2 linked regions of the Oryctolagus cuniculus genome follow. The protein of the gene in region 1 purifies or fractionates together with the protein of each later gene. This does not show direct contact. Links are inferred from orthologs where the notes say so. Each region holds a gene or a part of one and is shown on either strand. Other genes may lie near its edges.

The links.
Region 2: the proteins of CAV1 (region 1) and KCNA5 purify together in Homo sapiens (affinity purification with western blotting, with the first as the bait; 3 studies listed by BioGRID). This does not show direct contact. The link is inferred for Oryctolagus cuniculus from reciprocal best matches to the Homo sapiens genes CAV1 and KCNA5.

Annotation. Positions count from the first base shown.
Region 1 is NC_091434.1:152,012,742-152,024,162, reverse strand, and holds the end of CAV1 (caveolin-1), read right to left. Parts: intron 6,202-11,421; coding exon 5,860-6,201; 3' UTR 4,005-5,859; downstream 1-4,004. UniProt on the Homo sapiens protein: May act as a scaffolding protein within caveolar membranes. Forms a stable heterooligomeric complex with CAV2 that targets to lipid rafts and drives caveolae formation. Mediates the recruitment of CAVIN proteins (CAVIN1/2/3/4) to the caveolae.
Region 2 is NC_091440.1:104,406,643-104,418,633, reverse strand, and holds KCNA5 (potassium voltage-gated channel subfamily A member 5), read left to right. Parts: upstream 1-5,331; 5' UTR 5,332-5,349; coding exon 5,350-7,146; 3' UTR 7,147-7,199; downstream 7,200-11,991. UniProt on the Homo sapiens protein: Voltage-gated potassium channel that mediates transmembrane potassium transport in excitable membranes. Forms tetrameric potassium-selective channels through which potassium ions pass in accordance with their electrochemical gradient.

The sequences.
Region 1 (11,421 bases):
AGATAGCTTAACTGCTCTGCCACAATGCCTGCCCTAGTAAACTCTTTTTTGTTTTTTTTTTTTGTTTCTTTTTTTGTTAGGAAAACTTACATTCAAACCCTTCTGTCAAATATTTTGATAAATTTGTGAAAGCAGTTTTACTTTTATATCTTAGATGTAAATGATTCAATTTGCATTTTAATGACATCCTTATTGTTGACCATTGCTTGTTCTCAGTAGAGATAAAGCTTGCTTCTGTTTTCCAGCATTACCACTAACCTTATGGCTTAGTAACATGTTTGGCTCCCAGATTTAGAGCTAGACTTCATGAGTTCATAACTCTGGCTTTGTCAATTGTTGGTTGTGTGACTCTGGGCAAGATACTTGACTCCTCTGTGCCTAATCTGTAAAGCTGAGATGGTGAAAATATGTACACCATCCAGAGTTACTGGGAAGATTGAGTGAACTAATGTTTAAAGGACACAGACTTGGGATCCAGTCTGCAGCATAGCAGGCTGAGCCTCTGCCTGTGGTGCCGGTGTCCCATATGGGTGCTGGTTCATATCCTGGCTACTCCTCTTCAGATCCATCTCTCTGCTCATGGCCTGGAAAAGCAGCGGAAGATGGCCCAAATGCTTGGGTCCCTGTCTCAACATGGGAGACCCTGAAGAAGCTCCTGGCTCTTGGCTTTGGATCGCTCCAGCTCTAGCCATTGTGCCAATTGGGGAGTGAACTAGCAGATAGAAGACCTTTCTCTGTCTCTCCCTCTCTCTGTCTGTAATTCTACCTTTCAAATAAATAGATAAATAAAATCTTTAAAAAAATCTCTGTGTGCCAAGTCTGCACACACATATTGGTGCATGAAACTATTGCTAACGTTTGCTTCAGCTATGCTCACATTACTCACTTACTACACATGGAAAATGATTCTGCGAGCCAGTGAGAAGCCAGTGGAAATGGAAAGCTTCATGAAGAGGAAGGCTCAGGGCACAGACACTGCCCAGAGCTGGAAGATAGAGAGTGAGGAGCAAGGCTTTGGTGCAAGACACTCTGGGATGTGATGATAGCTCTAATACTTAGAAGTTATGTGAATGGATGACTCACTAAAATTCTCTAAACCTTATTTGTACAATGAAAACATCAATACTTACCTTGAAATCTTGTGTAAGAACAATAATGTTTGTGATGTAGCAGGAACTCAGAAATGGTGCATCTATTTGAATCTACTTCCTTTAATTTTTAAGCAAGCAAAAGTCAGCTACATACACTTCAGACAATTGTTTAACTCTACCATTTAAGTTAATATCATGTCATGGACATATTTCCACTTCATTAACTATCCCACTGGATAAAATATCAAAGTGTACAAATAACATATCTGATTCCTTGTTTTTGAACATTTTTGTTGTTTCCAATTTATGATACTACTGACAAACAAATAATGAACATCTCTGATTGATGACCCAAGGTATGCTTTGTTACATTTTTTAGTAAATGGCACGGTGGATTCTATCTTACGTACATTGAATTGTCCCCCAAAAGGCTTCTCGTACTCACCCTCACAGAAGCAATGAATGTGTGTGCTTTCTTTCCAGTGTCCTCAGCAATGTGCACTTGACTTTCATTTTTCAACTCTGCAAACTTAGGTGAAAATCGTATCTCACAATTTTGATTATTTGCATGCCATTTTTGATGAATGGACATTTTTCATATGATTATACACTTCTTTGTGTAAATTACCTTTTCATTTATTTGCATACTTTTCAATTGGCATGCTCATCTTTTTCTTTATATCTCTGTACATCTTTTAAAGTACAGTACTAAGCATGTGATATATATACATATAAATATATGTAATGTATACTATATATTACATATGTAATATGCTTCCTTTTATCATTCTATCATTTATTTTGTTTCTACTAGTTTTTATATATAGAAGAATATGATCGGCCAGCGCCGTGGCTCACTAGGCTAATCCTCCGCCTGCATCGCCGGCACTCCGGGTTCTAGTCCCGGTTGGGGCGCCGGATTCTGTCCTGGTTGCTCCTCTTCCAGTCCAGCTCTCTGCTGTGGACCAAGAGTGCAGTGGAGGATGGCCCAGGTCCTTGGGCCCTGCACCCACATGGGAGACCAGGAGGAAGCACCTGGCTCCTGGCTTCGGAAAGGCACAGCGTGCTGGCCGCAGCACGCCAGCCATAGCAGCCACTTTGGGGGTGAACCAATGGAAAAAGGAAGACCTTTCTCTCTATCTCTCTCTCTCTCACTGTCTAACTCTGCCTGTCAAAAAATAAATAAAAAATAAAAAAGGATATGATTTTTATGTATTCATAGCCATGATTTTTTTTATGGTTTTACCCTTTTGTATTATGTTAAGGTACCTTATTTTTTTAAATTCTCCTCTCCTCTCACTTTCATAAACAAGAATTCCAATTTAAAAAGCAGAACGTTTGAATATCAGCACCCACATCAGGGAAGGTATGAGTCAACTGTTTAGACAGCCTTGCTTCACTGGACTGATGTGTATTATTATGTAACTAACATTTACTAAATGTGTGATGTATGAAGCTATTTACTCCCAATGCAGATTAAGAGTGGTCTGAAGCCATGTGATTATCTGTGGGGATGGAACTATTTCATGTATGTAACTCAAACAAAATGGGAATAGGTCTGATCTTGTTAATATGTACTTGTTTAGATTCAAATCATAAAACCAAAGGAAAGATAATCCTTGTTTAAAGTCATGTCACTCATTCTGCCTGAACTGGAGACCTAACTTCAGCCAGGATGTCAAATGCTGCCTTGATCAAAGCCATGTCTCCATGTGTATAATAGCAGTGGATTTGTTGGGTAAACACAAATCCAGACTGGGTTACCAACTAAGCAGCCTCCATGCTTTCTTGAAAGCCCAGCAAGAGAGGAACACTGTTAACTGCCTCGGAGAACTTCAGGGTGGGAGGCTTAGAAGATACCCTTCATGAAATTTGGTTTGGAAGCTGCGAGGGTTCATTTTGTCAGCTTACCTGAACCATGGGATTTCCAGGTGTTTGGTCCTACATCATTCTGTTTATGGTTTTGAGGGTGTGTGTGGATGAGATTAACACTTAAATTGGTAGAAAGAGTAAATCAAATTGACCTTCCTAACATGGGCTTCATCCAGTGGGCTTCATCCAATCCACAGAAGAGAAATAAAGGCTGACCATCCTCCCAGTGAGAGAGAATTCCTTCTGCTTGACTGTTTTCACACTGGGAAATCGATTTTCTCCTACCATTGGACTCAAAGTGCTATATCAGCTCTTCCAGGGTCTTGATTTTGCTGTCCTTTGGAATGGAGCAACAAGATCAACTTTGCTGCAGCTTCAGCTTGCTGGCTCCTACTGCAAATCCTGGAACTTGTCAGCTTCCATCATTGTGTGGGCCAATTCCTTATAATGAATCTCTTGCTCTCTGTCTTAACCTTTATCATCTCTTATCTCCATCTTTATCTCTGTCTCTATCATCTTGATCTCTATGTCTGTCATCTCAATCTCTCTATCACCTATCATCTGTCATTTCTCTATGTCTGCTGTCGGTTCCGTTTCTTTGGTGAACCCTGACACAGAAACCCTGAATGTGAACTTAGCCAAGAAAAAAATAATTACCTCTTAAGAAATTTCAGTTCCATCATGGTAAAGTTCAAGGCTTTGCCCAACCCCCTGAATACAAATTGTGTCATTTGTCAAATGATGACATTAACGTCCATCCCACAAAGTTATTAGGGGCTCACATTGGATGAGATAGCATATAACATTTATCATTAATGATAATTTTTATTTGGAGTAATCCATGAATGGGGTTAATCTTAGCAGAAAGATCCCACTTAAATAACTCTGTCAAGATTTAAAAGTGAGAAATCTTTACACTCCCCTGCACACTACATACATGTACACACACAATATGCACATGCTCACCACATACAAATACACAGACACAAACACTGACACGTAAATGCCCATGTAGGAGGAAATAATGGAAGTTGACAGTTTTAATTGTTTATTGTGCAGAATTTGTAACCTTTATAGGACATGCAGGATAAAAAAGTGTAAAATATATCATTAAGCATATAAAATCTTAGCAGTTTTTTGGACCAGCAGTTGATTTGCACAGGGGACTGAGCATCTATGTAGAACAGACATGTCTTGGGATACACAGTTTACAGATTGAATCACAAAGCCATTTCCCAAGTGATGTTCATCATATAAAGATAAAAATATCTTTACACGTAAAAAGTATAGTACATTTTCAGTTATGTACACAATTTAAAAGTAAAACTATGTCCATGCCAGTGTCTGTTTTAAATGCAAAATATCGGAGATAACAGGTCGGCAATTAAAAGTTCAGGAAGATTGGAAGAGGCAAAAAAAATCAAGCAAAGTTCTAATAAGTGTATGAAAATACAAGTGAAAGCATAACTGGAGGTTTAAAAAAGTCCCCAAGGGCAGGATAACAATATGAACAGGAGAAATGAAAAGCTTATGGATGTACCAGGCAGCTTTCTGCATGACTCAGGTTTACAGGTGAAATTCCTCAGCTTGAATTCAGAAGAATTTGAACTGATTCCAGCAAATTAGCTCAATCTTTTGCTACTGCCTCCTCTCCTCATCTTCTTTCTGAGCAAAGTGGCATTTGGATGAGGGCCAAAGCTCCTAGGAGAGGGAGGGACTAGTGTCCCAGGCTAACAGATGGTTGCAAGTGCTTTACTTAGAAGGGTCACATTGACAACACCGCTGACAGTCTTACACAATGGCCTCCATTTTGACATCCCATCCCTAGAGGCCCACTGATCAGCTGAAAAGGGAACACAATGTTGAGCCACTAAACCACCGCGGTGATGGATTAGTGTGGATTCAGGAAAGCGTCATTATTCTTGAAAATAAACGGAGCTGAATAGACATGCTGACCACATTCAGCTGATGAGAGGCAGGGAACGCTGGCTTCCACCCCTGCCAGCCCAGAGAGGACTCAGCCCCATTTGTCCACTGTAATTTGCTTTCTAGGGCTCCCATACTCAATATGGATAAAGATGCTGCATGATCAAGTGCAGATCTATGCTATGCCATGTCTGTCAGTACACACAGGCACAGAGAACTAGAGAATGGATTCTCTAATTTTGGTTTTCAGAGGCTGCAGAACTAATGAAAGTGAAGAATTAGGTTCTATTTGAAAAGGACAATGAGAAAAAAGAGGAAGGCACTTAGGTCTTGTTATCTATTTAACAAATATTCAGGCACAGGAAGTATAATAGTTTAAAATTTCGAGAAGTGTAAGGTATTGGTCACATAATGTGAATGCAGAGGATTATATTTTCTAACTCAGTAAGGATCACTAGACCCCAGTGAATCACTAAAGTGACCCACAGTGATTCACTAATTCCTCAGACAGTTGGGGCTGCAGGATCTGCTTAAAATCTGCCCACATACCTGTACACTCAATGGCCATAGCCTGGAATTCTCCCCTTTCTATAAAATAATCAACATTTTGGAGTAGGCAGTAAAGTTGTGTGTTCTTTTTCTTTTCTTTCCTTAGTTCTTCATATCTCTCTCAAGTTATCTGTCAATAATATGTTCATATCCCAGCCAACAAAACAGTGATCCTCATCCAAATCAAAATGTAAGGAAAAACATTGGAATGGCTTTAAAACATTCAGACTGCCAAAAATAGATGAAATAGCTCAGAAGAGAAAATAATAGCTATGAAAACTGAGAAAGTGATTTCTTTGTTCTGAACCAAGATACATCATTCATAAATTGTTGCTGTATTAGCAACTTGAGACTTGGAATTGGCACCAAGAAAATTAAAAAGAAAAACAAGAATCAGGACTTTCTACCCTTGAAATGTCATTTATATTTCTTTCTGCATACTGATGCGGACATTGCTGAATATTTTGCCAATAGCTTCAAAGAGTGGATCACAGAAGGTGTGGACGTAGATGGAATAGACTCGGCTGATGCACTGAATCTCAATCAGGAAACTCTTAATGCAAGGCACAACTGCCCAGATGTGCAGGAAAGAGAGAATGGCAAAGTAAATGCCCCAGATGAGTGCCATTGGGATGCCAAAGATGGTAGACAGTAGGCGGTAAAACCAGTATTTCGTCACAGTGAAGGTGGTGAAGCTGGCCTTCCAGATGCCGTCGAAACTGTGTGTCCCTTCTGGTTCTGCAATCACATCTTCAAAGTCGATCTAAAAGAAAAAAAAGTGACAGAATGTGAGCATGGGATGGAAGAAGAAGAGAAAGAACAAAGAGAGAGTGAGAGAGAAACACTCACTACCCAGTATCCAAAAGTGAACAGTGATATTCCCGTGCCATCCCTGTGTGAGATGCTGCCACGATTTGGGTAAGTGTGGGTGTATCCCATAAAGGTCCATGTGCTGGAAACTTGGTACCCACTGTGGTGATGTGGGAAGTCATGGGATCTTTAAAAGGCGGGTCCAGTGAGATAATTCTAGGTCATTGGAGCCTCTGCCCTGGGCAGAGATTAGTATAAGTCACATGGGAACCTTGTTTGTTATAAAGGAGCACGATCGGCCTCTCTCCACTCTGTCTTCCTGTCTCAAACCCACTACTTTCACCATGCCATTTGCCATGATTGCGCCTCAGCGAGGGGAGACCCTCGCCAGAGCCAGCATCATGCTCTCTGAGCTTTCAGTCTCCAAAGCTGTAAGCTGAATCAATCTCTTTCTTTATAAAGGACCTTGCTTCATTTATTTCATTACAGCAACAAAAAGGAACTAATACGGATGCTTAAATTGACCACAACATCAGTGCCACTTGGAACAAATTGGAAACACAGCTTATCTGGGCCTCACTCCCCCCTCATTACCCTCTCTGGGCTTGGAAGAGGCAAAGAATAATTAGGAAAACTAAGAAAGTGATTTCTTTGTTCTGAACCAAGATGACAAATCTATGAATTGTTGCTGTACTAGCAACTTGAACCTTGAAATTGGCACCAAGAAAATTACAAGAAAAAAAAAGAATCAGATGTACTTCTGTCCTTGAAATGTCATTTATATTTCTTTCTGCCTGTTAATGTGGACATAGCTTTTAATGTGTTCTCCAGTTGTTTCTTTACCATGCAAAATTTGAAAACTACTACTCTGGGAAAAATCAAATCATTATGGTTAGATTCCTTGCCTTAAAGTAAAATCCAGCAACATAGATGAGGATATGAAACATTCCATAAAACATAAATAAGTTGCCATAACTGAATTGCCTTTGGAGACAATGACACATGCAATGTTAAAGAACAGTTAGTTTAAAATTGATTAGTGATGTTCCAAACACAACTAGAATTAAATCAGGAAACTAGATCACTGTGAGCTGTGAGGCATCAAAAATACTTCACAGGGTGCTGGGATGTGGGCTCTGGAGAAGAAAGAAATGTGGGCCTTGGAAATACAGTTAGCAAAGTCCCAGGAGCCAAGAAGGGTGAGGACAGTGGGTGTCACCGGCAAAGCGGACCATAGTGGTCAAGGCTGAAAAGACAGGTTGGGGACAGATTAGATATTATTTTACATGCAGTGGTGGTCTATTAAAGACTCTGGAACAGAGATGTGTAGCTAGTTAGTGTAGTAATTTATCAAGATGAATTTGACAATAGCACATAGGCTGGCAGTAAGGAGGCAGAGACTGAAGGCAGGGAAACTGCTGCTGTCATTCAAGTTTGACATGGTTGGGTCAAGGCTGGAAAAGTGGTCATGATAAAATAAGATAAGGAACTCCAGGAAAAAATATAAGGGAAGAATTCACAGGACATAGTTACTTGGAGATGGGGGAGAGCTAAGCTTAATATGAACTTTGAGCTTGTCTTTTCTGCTAGGGAGAACAAAGATGACATTAAGAACAAGAAGAAAATTAGAAAGAGAAGACAATTAAAAAATAAAAGAACCAGAGACAGCATCACTTTTTTTAAAGATTTATTTATTTTATTTGAAAGTCAGAGTTATACAGAGAGAGGAGAGATGGGGGGCGGGGAGAGAGAGAGAGAGAGAGATGTCTTCCATCCAATCGTTCACTCCCCAGTTGGCCACAAAGGCCTAAGCTGCGCTGATCTGAAGCCAGGAGCCAGGAGCTTCTTCCAGGTTTCCCACGGGGGTGCAGGGTCCCAAGGACTTGGGCCATCTTCCAGTGCTTTCCAAGGCCACAACAGAGAGCTGGATCAGAAGTGGAGCAGCCGGGATGTGAACCAGCGCCCATATGGGATGCTGGCGCTTCAGGCTAGGGCATTAACCCACTGCACTACCGCGCCGGCCCCAGCGTCACTTTTGAATTAAACAAATTGAAAATAAAGTTTGAATGATGACAAATACAAATCTCAGCGGTCCATGTATGATGAATCCTATAGAAGTTCTTTTAGGTGGCCGCTAGGAAATACTGAAATGAGTGGGCAGTCACACAGAACTTAATAGTTAGTAAATGCTTCTGTATGTATTGTATCTGTGAACAGCATCAGAGGCTTCAAATCTATCTGGAAAGGAAGGTTACTGCCAGTTTACAAAAGAAGCATGGGGAAGGTGAGTTGCTAAAGATTCACAGAGCAACCATGGGGTCAGAATGTGAACTTGGTCTCTCTCCCAGTGGTATTCTCTTGCAGGTGTAGGATCATCTAGACAATTCTCAGGAGGTTTTATCCCTCTGCAAGGACTTCTGTAAACTAAACTGAAGCACAAGGTTAAAAACAAAATTACCAACAGGAAGGCCCGACACAGCCAGCTCAACTGTCTGGTGGTGGCAGCTATATGAAGAGATCTAATGTAATCTGAAATCCAAACAAGTTGATGATCGCCAGCAGTGTGCAGCCAAGCTCAGGATTAGGCAATGAGGACTTGGATGACTCTGTGGAGCTGCTCAGTGCCAAAGAGCCACCTTTGATTCAACACAATAAAATGTCTCTTGGAAAAAGTGCATGATGCTTACCAATTTTGAAAGTTTATTTTCTAGAACATTCTGTTTCTTGCTCCATTGCCCAGTGTCCTAATATTCATTGTATTATATGGGAAAGTGGTATGGTCACAATTATGTAAATTAAGTTAAGTAGTTTTGCTGCCACTCCATTTTTCCTCTGTCCCTTTAGATTCCATGGCAAACATTTACTTGTATATTTAAAAAGTTGTAGGATGGCAAATCCGACCAACACTTTAATTCGGTTTTTGTGCAACTTATTCAGTTGTCTATTATGAGTTTGTGTTCTGTCACTATATTGTTTCCACAGCTATAAAAAATAAGGACCTGCAGTTTTCCTTCATTCAACTGCAATATAGCAAAATATCTTGTTTTATAAGAGGATTTGGTGAAGCCAAATGAGTTACTAGAGCAGGTTTCTTAATCTGAGGTCAGAGAGTGGGCGATGGTGGTCCATCACCCTCCAATGGCCGCCACAGGTGGCGTGCTGCGACCGGCGCACCGCACTGATCCGAAGGCAGGAGCCAGGTGCTTCTCCTGGTCTCCCATGGGGTGCGGGGCCCAAGCACTTGGGCCATCCTCCACTGCCTTCCCGGGCCACAGCAGAGAGCTGGCCTGGGAGAGGGGCAACCAGGACAGAATCCGGTGCCCCGACCGGGACTAAAGCCCGCTGTGCCGGCGCTGCAAGGTGGAGGATTAGCCTACTGAGCCATGGCGCCGGCTCATAGGTACTTTGAAACAAGTGCATATGTCTTGTGTGTATGTTGGGAAAGGGCCCATCACCTCTAGTGAGCCGGTGCCGCGGCTCACTAGGCTAATCCTCCACCTTGCAGCGCCGGCACACCGGATTCTAGTCCCGGTAGGGGCGCCGGAATCTGTCCTGGTTGCCCCTCTTCCAGTACAGCTCTCTGCTGTGGCCAGGGAGTGCAGTGGAGGATGGCCCAAGTGCTTGGGCCCTGCATCCCATGGGAGACCAGGATAAGTACCTGGCTCCTGCCATCGGATCAGTGCGGTGCGCCGGCCGCAGCGTGCTGGCTGCGGCGGCCATTGGAGGGTGATCCAATGGCAAAGGAAGACCTTTCTCTCTGTCTCTCTCTCTCACTGTCCACTCTGCCTGTCAAAAAAAAAATAAATAAATAAAAATTAAAAAAAAGAAAAGAAAACAATGCCTATTATCAAGGAAGGCTAAGAAGTAGTTTACTGGGGGCATGGGAGCCCAATCTATAGAGCAGACTCTAAGCAGCTTTGCCTTAAGATCCTTTTCCAAGGGGAGGAATACATTCCCAACATTTGTGGACTAGTGGTTATGATCCGATACCATTCTCATTTAGCTTCACCAACTGTGTAAGATAAAATCCCCATTTTATAGAAAAAATATGAGGCTTGGAAATGTTAATGAATTGTCCAGGCAAACAAGAAGTGGATTTGAGTTTCCAGTGGGGTCGCAAAGAGACGGATTTTCTTTAGCACTGCACCCCTTTACAAAAATATTTCTCAAATTTTCTCTAAGGGAGAGTAGAGTATTTCCTAATCAAAAGACACATTAATAAAGAGAGCTTACAAAATTTTACTCTTTTGGGAACTAATAATTGCCATAGCATGACCTCTGAGAGCAGTGTCTCACTATATGCACAATTGGTCCATGTTACAGAAATACCTTCCGTTAATGAAGGTATTTCAGTTAGTAAGAGTGTGTGCAAGGTTTCTTGATGACTATTTTTCTAAGCACAGATACTTTTATCAGTGAACATACTGGCAATTCATATACTTTGTTTTATGTTGTTTTGTAAATTCTGGGTGGCTAAGTTCTCAGTGCTTTACAGAAACTGCTGCTGAGCATGATTTATTCCCAAATATCCCAGTGGATACGGAGCAGGTCTCCAGGGGTGCATAGACACAGGACCAAAATAACATGTTTTATAAATATACTCAAGTTGCTGCTTTAGTCTTGAAATTTTAAGGTGGCTTCAAAGAATATTAATAGTCAGGCAAAGAAGCACAGTTGAGAAAAAGAACTCAAAGCAAAATAAAGAAATACAGTGGATCCAGAAGTCAGGCTTTGTTTCTGTCTGTCTTCATTTCTACAGCTGTAAGTATATTAGGCTTTTGCGGGGAGTGCAGGAGACAATATATGCAAAGTATTCAGCATAAGTACAGAGCACTGCAGTATAGTACATGCTCACCAAATAGCAGCACTAACAAATTCTTTGCTCTGGGTGACCAGGCTTCTTTATAGGCAATTATAAGAGAAACTCTAAGTTGCAAAGCACATGGTGTCTGTGAATTCAAACCCTCAAAACACCCGACTTGTAATCACTCCTACCCTCTGGGGGAATGTCATCATTCCCATTTGACCAGTGAGAAAACTGAAGATTGCACAGATGCTAAGTGGCAAAGCTGGAACTTGCATTTCACATCCGTACTCTTTTTGTTTATGCATTCCCTTCTGGTGGTCTTATTTGCTTAATTCCATCCCCTGCCTCAAGATATGCTTCCTAAAA
Region 2 (11,991 bases), on another chromosome or scaffold:
ATGTTTGCTTAGAAAGATGAGGCCCAATGGGACTGCTGTTGAGACACAGTGTGTGATTCCAGCACCCCATATCTGAATGCAAGGTTCCAGTACTGGATGCTCTGTTACAAAAAAAAAAAATCCATGCATAGTTTTTCACAATATGCATTTTTCATGAACTTTTTAACATGCCCTTATATGCATGTATTTCAGTATATTTTGCACCAACATAAACTAAATTTTTTAAAGATATATTTGTTTCTTTGAAAGTCAGAGTTAGAGAGAGGGCAGGCAGAAGACAGACACACACACACACACACACACACACACACACATATATAGAGAGGGAGAGACAGAGAGAGACAGAGAGGAGAGAGAAAGGTCCTCCATCCTCTGGTTCACTCCACAAATGGCCACAACGGTTGGAGCTGGGACAATTGGAAGCCAGGATCCAGGAGCTTCTACCCAGTATCCCATGTTGATGGTAGGGGCCCAAGCTCGTGGGCCATCTTCCACCCACTGCTTTCTCAGACACATTAGCAGGGAGTTGGATTGGAGGTGGAACAGCTAGGACTCAAACCGGAGCCCATATGGGACGCTGGCGGTGCAGACAGTAGCTTAACCAGTTGGGCCATAGCGCCGGCCCCATAAACTAAGTTATTAATTCCATTTTCTATGAAGTTATTGACCTAATCTTGGACCTCCAAGAGGTTAAGAAATAAGTTTGTCTTTTTTTTTTTCTTTGACAGAGTTAGTGAGAGAGAGAGAGAGAGAGATCGTCCTTCCATTGGTTCACCCCCAAAATGGTCGCCACCGCCGGAGCTGTGCCAATCCGAAGCCAGGAGCCAGGTGCTTCCTTCTGGTCTCCCATGTGAGTGCAGGGGCCCAAGCACTTGGACCATCTTCCACTGCCTTCCCTGGCCACAGAAGAGAGCTGAATTGGAAGAGGAGCAACCGGAACTAGAACCCGGTGCCCATATGGGATGCTGGTGCTGCAGGTGGAGGATTAACCAAGTGAGCCATGGTGCCCGCCCCGTAAGTTTGTCTTGATCATCAATATGTTCCCAGCACCTGGGGCAGTGTCATGCAGAGTACATACACAATAAGTATTTTTTTTTTTTTAATTTTTTTTTTTTTATTTTTTTTATTTTTTGACAGGCAGAGTGGACAGTGAGAGAGAGAGAGACAGAGAGAAAGGTCTTCCTTTTGCCGTTGGTTCACCCTCCAATGGCCGCCGCGGCCGGCGCGCTGCGGCCGGCGCACCGCGCTGATCCGATGGCAGGAGCCAGGAGCCAAGTGCTTTTCCTGGTCTCCCATGGGGTGCAGGACCCAAGCACCTGGGCCATCCTCCACTGCACTCCTGGGCCACAGCAGAGAGCTGGCCTGGAAGAGGGGCAACCGGGACAGAATCCGGCGCCCCGACCGGGACTAGAACCCGGTGTGCCGGCGCCGCAAGGCGGAGGATTAGCCTAGTGAGCCGCGGCGCCGGCCCACAATAAGTATTTTTGACATGGATTAATAAAATTAGTATTTAGGATTGTTTCTCTTCCTCCTGCTTGTCTCCCTTCACCTTCTCCTCCTTCCTTATAATGACTGACTTCCAGCAACTCCTTAGCACTTTCTTTTCCCTCGGGTTCTGCACACTTGACGGGTTCCCCTGGGATCTGCCCAGGAGCAGTCCTGCAAGTTGAGAGAAGTCCTCCCACATGTTCTGCTGCATGTGTCTCATTCTGCGGGACAGGTTCAGGGGCTACAAACCATTCTCTTTTTTTTAAAGGTTTATTTATTTATTTGAAAGACAGATTTATAGAGAGGCAGAGGCAGAGAGAGAGAGAGATCTTCCATCTACTGGTTCACTCCCCAGATGGCCACAATGTCCAATCCAAAGCCATGAGCCAGGAGCTTCTTCCAGGTTTCCCACACGGGTGCAGGGTCCAAGCACTTGGGCCATCTTCTACTGCTTTCCCAGACCATAGCAGAGAGCTAGATCAGAAGTGGAGCAGCCGGGACTCAAACCAGCACCCATATGGGATGCCAGCACTGAAGGCGGTGGCTTTACCCACTGTGCCACAGCGCCGCCCCCGAACCATTCTTTAGAAGATGTCGTTTGGGGTTTGTCTGAGTTGAAGTTGCTACTCACAGTGTGATCTGTAGACAGGGGCATCAGCAGTACCTGCGAACTTATTTGAAATGCGACTAAACCTCAGCCAGCTCAGAGTCTGTCTTTTAGGTCCTCAGGTCTTGCTGCTGTTTAAGCACTGCTAGGACTAGATGGGTAGACAGCAAGGCAGGTTTCAGGTATGTGGCGTGTCCTCTGAGAAGGCACAGAGGAGGAGGTCAGAGGCAGGAAGTTCATATGCAAGAAACACAGAGAGAGAAAAGGGGTGAGAAGCAGAATTCAATAGAGGAAGCATTCAGACCGGGATGCTGGTGTGGCACTCATGGAAAGGAAGAGGGAGGAATGAAGGCTGGACAGGGAGCTCCCCAGGCTACAAGGCAGATCTCACCAAGTTTTGGCCAACCCAAGCCAGAGCCAGGAGCGTTCATTAGCAGAGCTCCATGGTGGACAGCAAATGGCCAGGTCTTGTAGCTCAGCTGCATTCAGTCATGGGCAAAAGCCTGCCTGGGAGGAGGGTGGCCCCTGCACAAAAGCTGAGGCAGGGTCACAAGTCATCAACTGCAGAGACTCTCGGTTAACAATACTCTTGCCGGCGCCGTGGCTCACTAGGCTAATCCTCCGCCTTGCAGCGCCAGCACACCGGGTTCTAGTCCCGGTCGGGGCGCCGGATTCTGTCCCGGTTGCCCCTCTTCCAGGCCAGCCCTCTGCTGTGGCCCAGGAGTGCAGTGGAGGATGGCCCAAGTGCTTGGGCCCTGCACCCCATGGGAGACCAGGAGAAGCACCTGGCTCCTGCCATTGGATCAGCGCGGTGCGCCAGCCGCGGCGGCCATTGGAGGGTGAACCAACGGCGAAGGAAGACCTTTCTCTCTCTTTCTCTCTGTCTCTCTCTCTCACTGTCCACTCTGCCTGTCAAAAAAAAAAAAAAAAAAAAAAAAAACAACCACTCTTGCAGCTAGGAAACAAGGGCGCTCTCAGCAGTCTGTTTCTGTGGCTACCACATGTGACATATGCAGCCAATTTTGCAAGATACCTATGTGGGTTGGCGAATGCATGGAAAGCACATTTAACAAAATGCCACATTAAAGGAGGCCTGACTTTCGTGCTTTGCTAGGACTGCTGTGTTGTATTCTTGTTCTCCAGGGAGCAATCCCCCTGAGGGTCCCTGGGAGACAAGCTCCAGAGAGTTCCTTCTCCTAAGGAGACCAAGGAGAGCCCCTGTGCTCACAGGAGTCAGTCAACAAGATGCAGTGGTCGCAGGTCTCTGACCCCACCCTCCACAAGCTCAGTAGCTCCAGGCCCAATCCTGTTGGGCCAGAGAACAGGGGCCAGTGGAGAGGAAGCAGGGATGACAGAGGACGGGGAGATGAGGGTATGCACCCTGTGACCCAGGGATGCCTGCACCTACCGGCTTTCACCTTCATGCCCCTTCTAAGTCCATGCACATTTGCAAAGACAGCCGAGCCCACGCACAAAACATGTGCATGAGAACACGTACATGTGACAAATTCACCTCCACCCTCAGATACACACCCCAAAAAAGCCAAGTGCACAGATCCTTCTCCAACCTTCACACCAACTTGTACGGCCAACCCCCCTCCTCTACTTCTGCCATCCCAGCAAACTCCCAAATCACCCTTTGGGTGCCGATTTAATTCACAGACAAGCAATGCACATAAATAAACCCCACATAATCTATGGGAACAAAAGCAGACAATGCAATCAGACATTCAGAAACACAGGGGCTTTGGCGTAATTGAAAAACCAAGAAACATCTGGAGGCTGTGTCTGGAATTTCCAGACATGCTTTGAAAAACATTTCCTTTGGCTATCCATGCCACCCAAACCCTGCAGAGGCAGGAGATAGCCTGGTCCCCTCACGGAGAGTGACTTCTAGGGTAGCCATCTCAGCCACCCTGCTGCTCTGGGAGTACAGCTAGGGAACACTTGTGTCTGCAAAGGTGGTTAGCAATTCTATGGAGCAGTGGCCAGTAGGGAGCTTGCTCATTTACAAAGGGGGCCAATAACATTCCTCACCTACTAGGTTGCCATAGGAACACGGGCGTCAGTAGCTAGCACTGGGAATGAGCCAGCACTATACGGAGAGCAGTCAGGATGTGTTGTTAGGATTCTCCTCTTGGGAATTCTCCAGCCCCAGGGATTCCACAGCCTCTCCTGGCTCCCACTCCTAAAGCACTCGTGCCTTTGCAGACCCCAGTCCCAGCTTCCACACACTTGCTGGCTCCCAGATTCAGCAGGCAGCATCAGCCTGCCCTGGGATTTTAAAAACCCTTCTTTCCTCTTCCCCATTGTGGTTTTGGCAAAAGGGATTTGGTGGAGAGAGCCCAGCGGCTGCGCATCCACAGGATTAGGAGACCAGGAAGCTTATCTCCTGGGCTGCTGCCCAGCTGGGGATGCCCACCTGTGGATGCCCAACTGGGGATGCGGCTGCTGTGGCTGACCGCGGCTGCCAGGACTGGGGCCAGGGTTTCTCCCAGGCGAGGGCAGGGGGCATCGCAGGGTTGCAGCCCTGTACCTTTTCATGGGTTTGTAGGAAGCTGAGGAGCGATGTGGTTCTTTATCTCTTGTCTGTAATTCCTCCCAAAGAGAAGCTATTGGGTGTCTGTCAAAGGAAAGCCGTGGAAAGGTTTTGTTGTCCCGCCTTTCACCCAAAGGCAGTTCCTTTCCCTGGGGTCCACTTGGCTTTCAACCGGTTCCCGGGTGACCTGAAATCCTGAGTTGTCCCCATCTGGTTGCCCTGGGAGACTCCTAGCTCTCTCGGTACAACCTGTTCCTCCCCCCGCCTCTCCCTCCACTGGGCTGCGCCCTCCTGGCCCCCCTCCCTTCCCTTCCCTCGCCTGGGGCCCAGCTGCGCCCTCCGGGGAGAAACCCGCTGCCACGGTACCCGCGGGTGGGAGGGAAGCGGGAGGAGCCGGCGGGCGCAGGAGGGGTGGCCAGGCGCAGAGGGCGGAGGCCGAGCGCCGCGCAGCCAGAGAGGGGCGACTGGAGGTTGCATCTGCAGGAGGAGGCTTCTCAGCTGCTTGGTTACCCAGACAGCGAGATCGGCAGGGAGCAGGACAGCGTCTCCCTGACGTCAGGATCCAGCAAGGGGACCGCGCCAGCAACCCTAGTGCCCCCCGGAGCCCCGCCGGCCGACCGCGGGATAGGGGCCGGACGCGAGGCGCCGGCGGAGCTGGCGCTGGGGGCGCGGGAGCCGGTCGGCTGGGGCGCAGCATGCCCCGTGCCCTCGGGCTATGGAGATCGCCCTGGGGCCCCTGGAGAACGGCGGTGCCATGACCATCCGAGGAGGAGGTGAGGAAACGGCAGGATGCAGCCAAGCAGCGCCGACGGCTGGGCTCGGCGATGGCTCCCAAGAACCGGCGCCGAGAGGGCGCGGCTGCAGCGCGCGGCGGGGCGCAGAGCCGGGGGAGCGGCCTCTGCCGCCGCAGCCCCCGGAGCTGCCACAGTCTAGACGGTCGCCGCTGGAGGAAGAGGAGGGAGAAGGCGACCCCGGCCTGAGCGTGGCGGAGGAGCAGACGCTGGGCGCGGGGGCCCTTCACCACCAGCGCGTCCTCATCAACATCTCCGGGCTGCGCTTTGAGACGCAGCTGGGCACCCTGGCGCAGTTTCCCAACACGCTTCTGGGGGACCCCGCCAAGCGCCTGCGCTACTTCGACCCGCTGAGGAACGAGTACTTCTTCGACCGCAACCGGCCAAGCTTCGACGGCATCCTGTACTACTACCAGTCCGGGGGCCGCCTGCGCCGGCCGGTCAACGTCTCCTTGGACGTGTTTGCGGACGAGATCCGCTTCTACCAGCTAGGGGACGAGGCCATGGAGCGCTTCCGGGAGGACGAGGGCTTCATCAAAGATGAGGAGAAGCCCTTGCCCCGCAACGAGTTCCAGCGCCAGGTGTGGCTCATCTTCGAGTACCCGGAGAGCTCCGGGTCAGCGCGCGCCATCGCCATCGTCTCGGTGTTGGTCATCCTCATCTCCATCATCACCTTCTGCTTGGAGACCCTGCCCGAGTTCAAGGACGAACGCGAGCTGCTCCGCCACCCCCCGGTGCCCCACCAGCCTCCGGCGGCTCCTGCCCTGGGAGCTAATGGCAGCGGGGCCGTGGCACCTGCCTCTGGCTCCACGGTGGCTCCGCTCCTGCCCAGGACCCTGGCCGACCCCTTCTTCATCGTGGAGACCACGTGCGTGATCTGGTTCACATTCGAGCTGCTTGTGCGTTTCTTTGCCTGCCCCAGCAAGGCCGAGTTCTCTCGCAACATCATGAACATCATCGACATCGTGGCCATCTTCCCCTACTTCATCACCCTGGGCACCGAGCTGGCAGAGCAGCAGCCCGGGGGCGGAGGAGGCGGGCAGAACGGCCAGCAGGCCATGTCGCTGGCCATCCTCAGAGTGATCCGCCTGGTGCGTGTGTTCCGCATCTTCAAGCTCTCCCGCCACTCCAAGGGGCTGCAGATCCTGGGCAAGACCCTGCAGGCCTCCATGAGGGAGCTGGGGCTGCTCATCTTCTTCCTCTTCATCGGAGTCATCCTCTTCTCCAGCGCCGTCTACTTCGCAGAGGCTGACAACCAGGGGACCCACTTCTCCAGCATCCCCGATGCCTTCTGGTGGGCGGTGGTCACCATGACCACGGTGGGCTACGGGGACATGAGGCCCATCACAGTGGGGGGCAAGATCGTGGGCTCCCTGTGCGCCATCGCCGGGGTCCTCACCATCGCCCTGCCCGTGCCCGTCATCGTCTCCAACTTCAACTACTTCTACCACCGGGAGACGGACCACGAGGAGCAGGCAGCCCTGAAGGAAGAGCCAGGCAGCCAGAGCCGGGGCACCTCCCTGGATGCAGGAGGCCAGCGCAAGGCCAGCTGGAGCAAGGCTTCCCTCTGCAAAGCTGGGGGGTCCCTGGAGACTGCAGACAGTGTCCGCAGGGGCAGCTGCCTCCTAGAGAAATACAACCTCAAGGCCAAGAGCAATGTGGATCTGCGGAGGTCCCTGTATGCCCTCTGCCTGGACACCAGCCGGGAAACCGACTTGTGAAGGGAGACTGGTGGTGGTGGTGGTGGTGGTGGTGGTGGGGTCAGCATAGTCCCTGAACTTGGGCATCCACTTCCTACCACAGAGTATTGCAAGTCCACCCTGTCACCGGTGCCTGTCCCTCTTCTGTCACTCCTTCCCCTCCTTTCCTCCCCCACTCAGTTCCCCCATTTTTCCTCTTCTTTCCATGACACCAAGGGTCACCTATTTTTAAAAAGTACCACATTCCATGACGCAGGAGCTGCTGAAATGGTGAATGCTGTCAGATGGATGTATTTGTAGCCACTTTCCTATACCCAGCAGAGGGATAACCCAAACAGAAATGACTTTAAATAGCCCAGATCCCAAGAGATTTTGTAACCCTCCCTACCCATGGGTTCAAGTTTGCTTTATATACGATTATATTTGTGTATAGGGGGAAACATTATTTTTGTGGCCAGTGAGTGGATTTTTGTACTGCGGTTCAGATGGGGATATTTTGATTCTATTTCCAAGATACACATTGTATTTGTAGGGGAGAGAGAGAGCGTTACGGTGATGTTTTCTGTGAATTCATGTCAGAGCCAGAGTCCAGTACCTCTGTTCTTTGTTTTTTTTGGGTTTTTCAGGCTGCTCTATTCTCAGATGTGTTTTCGGTGCTTTGTGTCTAAGACAGGGAACATTCTGGAAGAAAGGCAAGTCTGACATTTTTATGCGCCTTAAACAGTTCTCGTAACTTTTTCAAAAAGCATATCACGGATGTTGGAGGAAGACTTCTGATCCTTCACTCTCTTTATTTTTATCCCAGGAAATAAAATGTTGCTTGGTTGGGGCAAGTGTTAGTTTTCCTACAGCCGAAGCAGTTTTGGAAATTTTGCAAAGTAGTCTGTCCCTTGCTGTGTGTGGTGTTGGAGTGTCAGCAAATGAAGCCTTGAAACCTGTGCTTTGCTTAGTGACATGTTGTGATGGGCCTCGTCTCTGTCTCCCAGGCGATGATGGGTACAGTCTGCTTGTCTCGGGCTGCTTGTCACAGGGACACCCCTGCAGCATGTGGTCTGAAGAGGTGGCAGTAGACCCATGCTCAGTGTGGAGTGCGAAGGGTGCTTGGAGCCCCACAGTCCCACTGTGATCTGCTGTGCTGGGTTTCCGAAGTCTGCAGATTTCAAGCTGTGCTTGGTACTGCTCTGCAGCTCTGAGCGACAGTCCTGATTCTCACACATGAAACCTATTCACTAGATTCCCTCCTCGGTGTGAAAAGTCAGAGAAAAGGGTTCTTGGTCTGGGCAGGGTCTGCAGGGTGGACAGCAGCCCTGAGAAGTGCAATGGAAAGGTTTGCTTTTTCACATTCAAGTTTGGCTCCTATTCTGTGCGTCCTTGCCCCGACTCATCCCTACCCCTAGGAAGAATCCTTTTGCTTTCCTTTGCCCTGGATGGTTGAGGCACAGCATCACTGTGTGTAGGTACAACACTGGCTCAGATTTCTCTCCGGATGGGGATTAACGAATCAGCCTTGGGGCTCCACATTCCTGCTGTTGCTTTTTGCAATGAACAATCCAAAGACTGGTTGTTTTCCCATGTTCACCAGAGCAGGCTGGCGGTCTCTACTCACACCTTCCCTTGGAATGACAGTGAGCTCACTGGCTCATTCCAAGTGGGGAGTGCAGGTCTCCCTATGAGTAGGGAGGAGCTAGTGAAAAGGCATCCCTGAACTGTGGATTCCATCGAGGCATGGACGCCAATACTACAAGACGGTGTCTGTGAATGCAGCCAGGATCTGTTAGCAGCACATCTGAGGGGGAAGCAGATCGTGCAGTAGGGCCATTGTTTTTCATTACATGCTAAGGCAAAGGCAAAACAGAGAGGCTCTGCTTATTTATAATTTGCAGTCTGCCTAAAAGCAGGGCATCGTGCCAAAGCTCAACTGCGCCCGCTCTCACTCCCGAGCCCTCTATGCCTGCAAAGCTGGTTTTTGTAGCTTAGCACACAGCTAGGGGTTTGGGACTGGGTATCAACCCCTGCAAACCCAAAGCAATGTCACCACCTTTGGCCTGAAGGCCCCATTCCTTTGGACTTAAGCAATAAAGACAGAGCAACCCCCAGATTTCAGACATCTCTAGGTGCCAAACAGGGTGTTGCTGGCCAGATTAAAATGGAGTGCATGATTAAAATGTGCAGGACATGGGTGCCATCTTAGGCAAATCCTCAGGGAGAGAGAGAAGCAAATGAGATGGTGAGGCTCCCTGTTTTGCATGCGGAGAGGATACTGAAGAGCAGTTTACAAAAGGGTCATGGTGGTGCCACAGGGAATCCTGGAGTCAGGTGCCCTGCTGCGGCTCTCATCCTGGAAGTCACTGATCTCATATTTACCCTGGGGCACGGGGAGGGACACCCACTGGCCAGCTGGACTTGTGGTGCACCTGTTGCTATACTTCTAGAAAAAGAGTCCAGTGTTTCTCTCCAGGCGCCAGGCACAGGCTTTCTGCAGGAGCAACAGGAAAGGGATCTGAATGTCAAGGCTCTTCCCGGGGTACCTGAGGTAAGGAGCCCCCTCCTCCTCCGCCCTCTCTGCTCGGCTGTCATTGGTTTTACACAGCCTTTGCCTTCCTGCACACAGATAAAATCAAGTGACCTCTGCCAAGCTCTTTCTCCAGATGTTGCTCCCTGGCTCCCGGCAGGAAACCACTTCTGGGTTTGTAATCTACCTGCTTTGGGAAAGAAGTCGCAGAAGGCAAGGTTGCTCCTGGATGTCCTGTCCTCGTGTGAGGACAACAAAGCACCCCCCCCTTTTCACTGCTTATTTTTTTTTTCTTTTCCTGCTGGTATGCTTGCTGAACCCTAAGCAATTACAGTTTCAGGAAAACAAAATCAGTTCACTAACTTTAAAAGCCCCAGTGCTGGGAACTCTCCCCAGAGGGGAGAGCAAAACACAGTGCTGGCTCTTGAGGAATTTTTCCAGACAGTTGGGGTTTGCATCATTCTAGCGAGATTGATAGAGGCACTCCCAGGCTCGGGGCAGATGGAGCCAGCAGTTCCTTTGGGTGCGGGGACGCTTGGTCCGAGGCCCCTCCAGCAAGGACAGACTTGTGGCCGATGGAGTTCGGCTCTGGTTGATGGCCAAGGGCACCTGTCTGCTGGCCCCCTAGCACTCTCCTCTGTGTGATGAAGGACAGTGGAAAAACACTTGCCTTCACAGAGCTGCAGTCGCACTGGGGAATCAGTCAGGGTGCAACAGGCAAGCCACACCAGATAACCTGATAATTTGTAGAAAGTGGGATAAAAAATGAACTTAGGGGTGTGTGTTTAGCCTAGCAGTTAAGATGGTAATTGAAAAAAAAAAAAAAGATGCTCCCATTCTGCATCAGAGTACCTAGGTTCAAGCCCCAGCTCTGGCTCCTGAGTCCAGCTTCCTGCTAATGCAGATCCCGGGAGGCAATGGTGGTGGCTCAAGAAACTGGGCTCCTGCCACCCAGGTGGGAGACCTGGATTGAGTGACAGGTTCCCAGCTTCAGCTGGGCATCGCCCTGGGCACTCTGGGCCTTTGAGGAATGAACCAAAGCATGGACTTTTTTTATTTTTCACTCAAATTTTAAAAAGCAATACATTTATTTTCGTGAAAAAAAGTTTTGAAATCCATGCACCATGAGATGTGTCTCAAAAAACTCATGGGAAATGAGTATTATGAGAAAGCTACGTGTGGATGTGCTCAAGGACCCTGTATATGGCTGCAAAACCAAGTGTAGCATACCTGGTGTTGGCCGGGACTTGGGGAGAACAGAATAGCTTTGGGGGACCTTGCAGAGAGGCTAGAGAGAGGGGGCATTCCAGATAAGGCAGATGAGAGCAGTGGGCTGGAGCAGGACCCCAGGTGGTCCCAGACGCTGTCACTCCAACTGGAGCCCAGCCTAAAGCTAACAGTGGGAGCTCCAATTTAGCAAGGCTTGGGGGAGAGGGTCGGTGCTCAGCAGTTTTTTAAGGCAGGGAGTGTGCAAATTCCTGAAAAAGGCACAATAGTAAAAAAAGGCAGGTTAAGAGCCAGCACTGAGGCTGTTATTTCAGTAGGTATGTAACCCTTTAAAATGCAATCTGCTGGAAATGTAACAACTGGCCTCAGGCCAGAGCTGCACAACCCTGTCACATTCGCTCAGCCATCACCCCGAGGGCTGCCTCCTGGGGACCCAGCATGCATGCGAAGCCCTGAGCTGTCTCCCCACATTTGAATTCACTCCACTCCACTGGTGTTGATTGCAGATGCCAGCCCCTGGCTTGGGGAGGGGATCCCATGCTGGCATTTCTTAGCCCAGAGAAGGCCCGATCAGGAAGGCTTAGCATAATTCTACCTCCCAGGAAAATCAGATTTCCACTGTGGCTGTTGGACAGGATGCCCTGTTTCCAGGGAGGCAGAACAAGAGATTCTAGAAATTCTGACTGGGACTCTGGGCAGTGGGTTTCCCCTGAGCTGTTGGTGGGAATGGGCTCCGACTGCCCTGAAGGGTGGGCTTCCTTCTCCTTCTGGTCCAGAGTCTTTTCCTGCATGTGACCCTGAGTGGGTAGCCTGGAGCATGCACTTCACCTAGTTCTCCTCTGGCTGCTGAGCAAGGCCCTGGGCTGGTGCAGCCTCTGTGTGCACCTGGTGTGCTCACCTAGGGTGGTGTGCGTGGGCAGAGGGAGGCATGGCCCAGTCAGGACTGCAGGCTTCCCGAGGAGCAAGACTCTTGTTACCTTCCCCTCCCCTCCCCTCCCCTCCCCTCCCCTTTCCAAAATCTTCATTTACTTAAAGGCAGAGTAACAGGGAGAAACACAGAGATTTTTTAACTGTTGGTTCACTCTCCAAATGGCCACAACAGCTGGGGTCTGGGCTAGGCTGAAGCC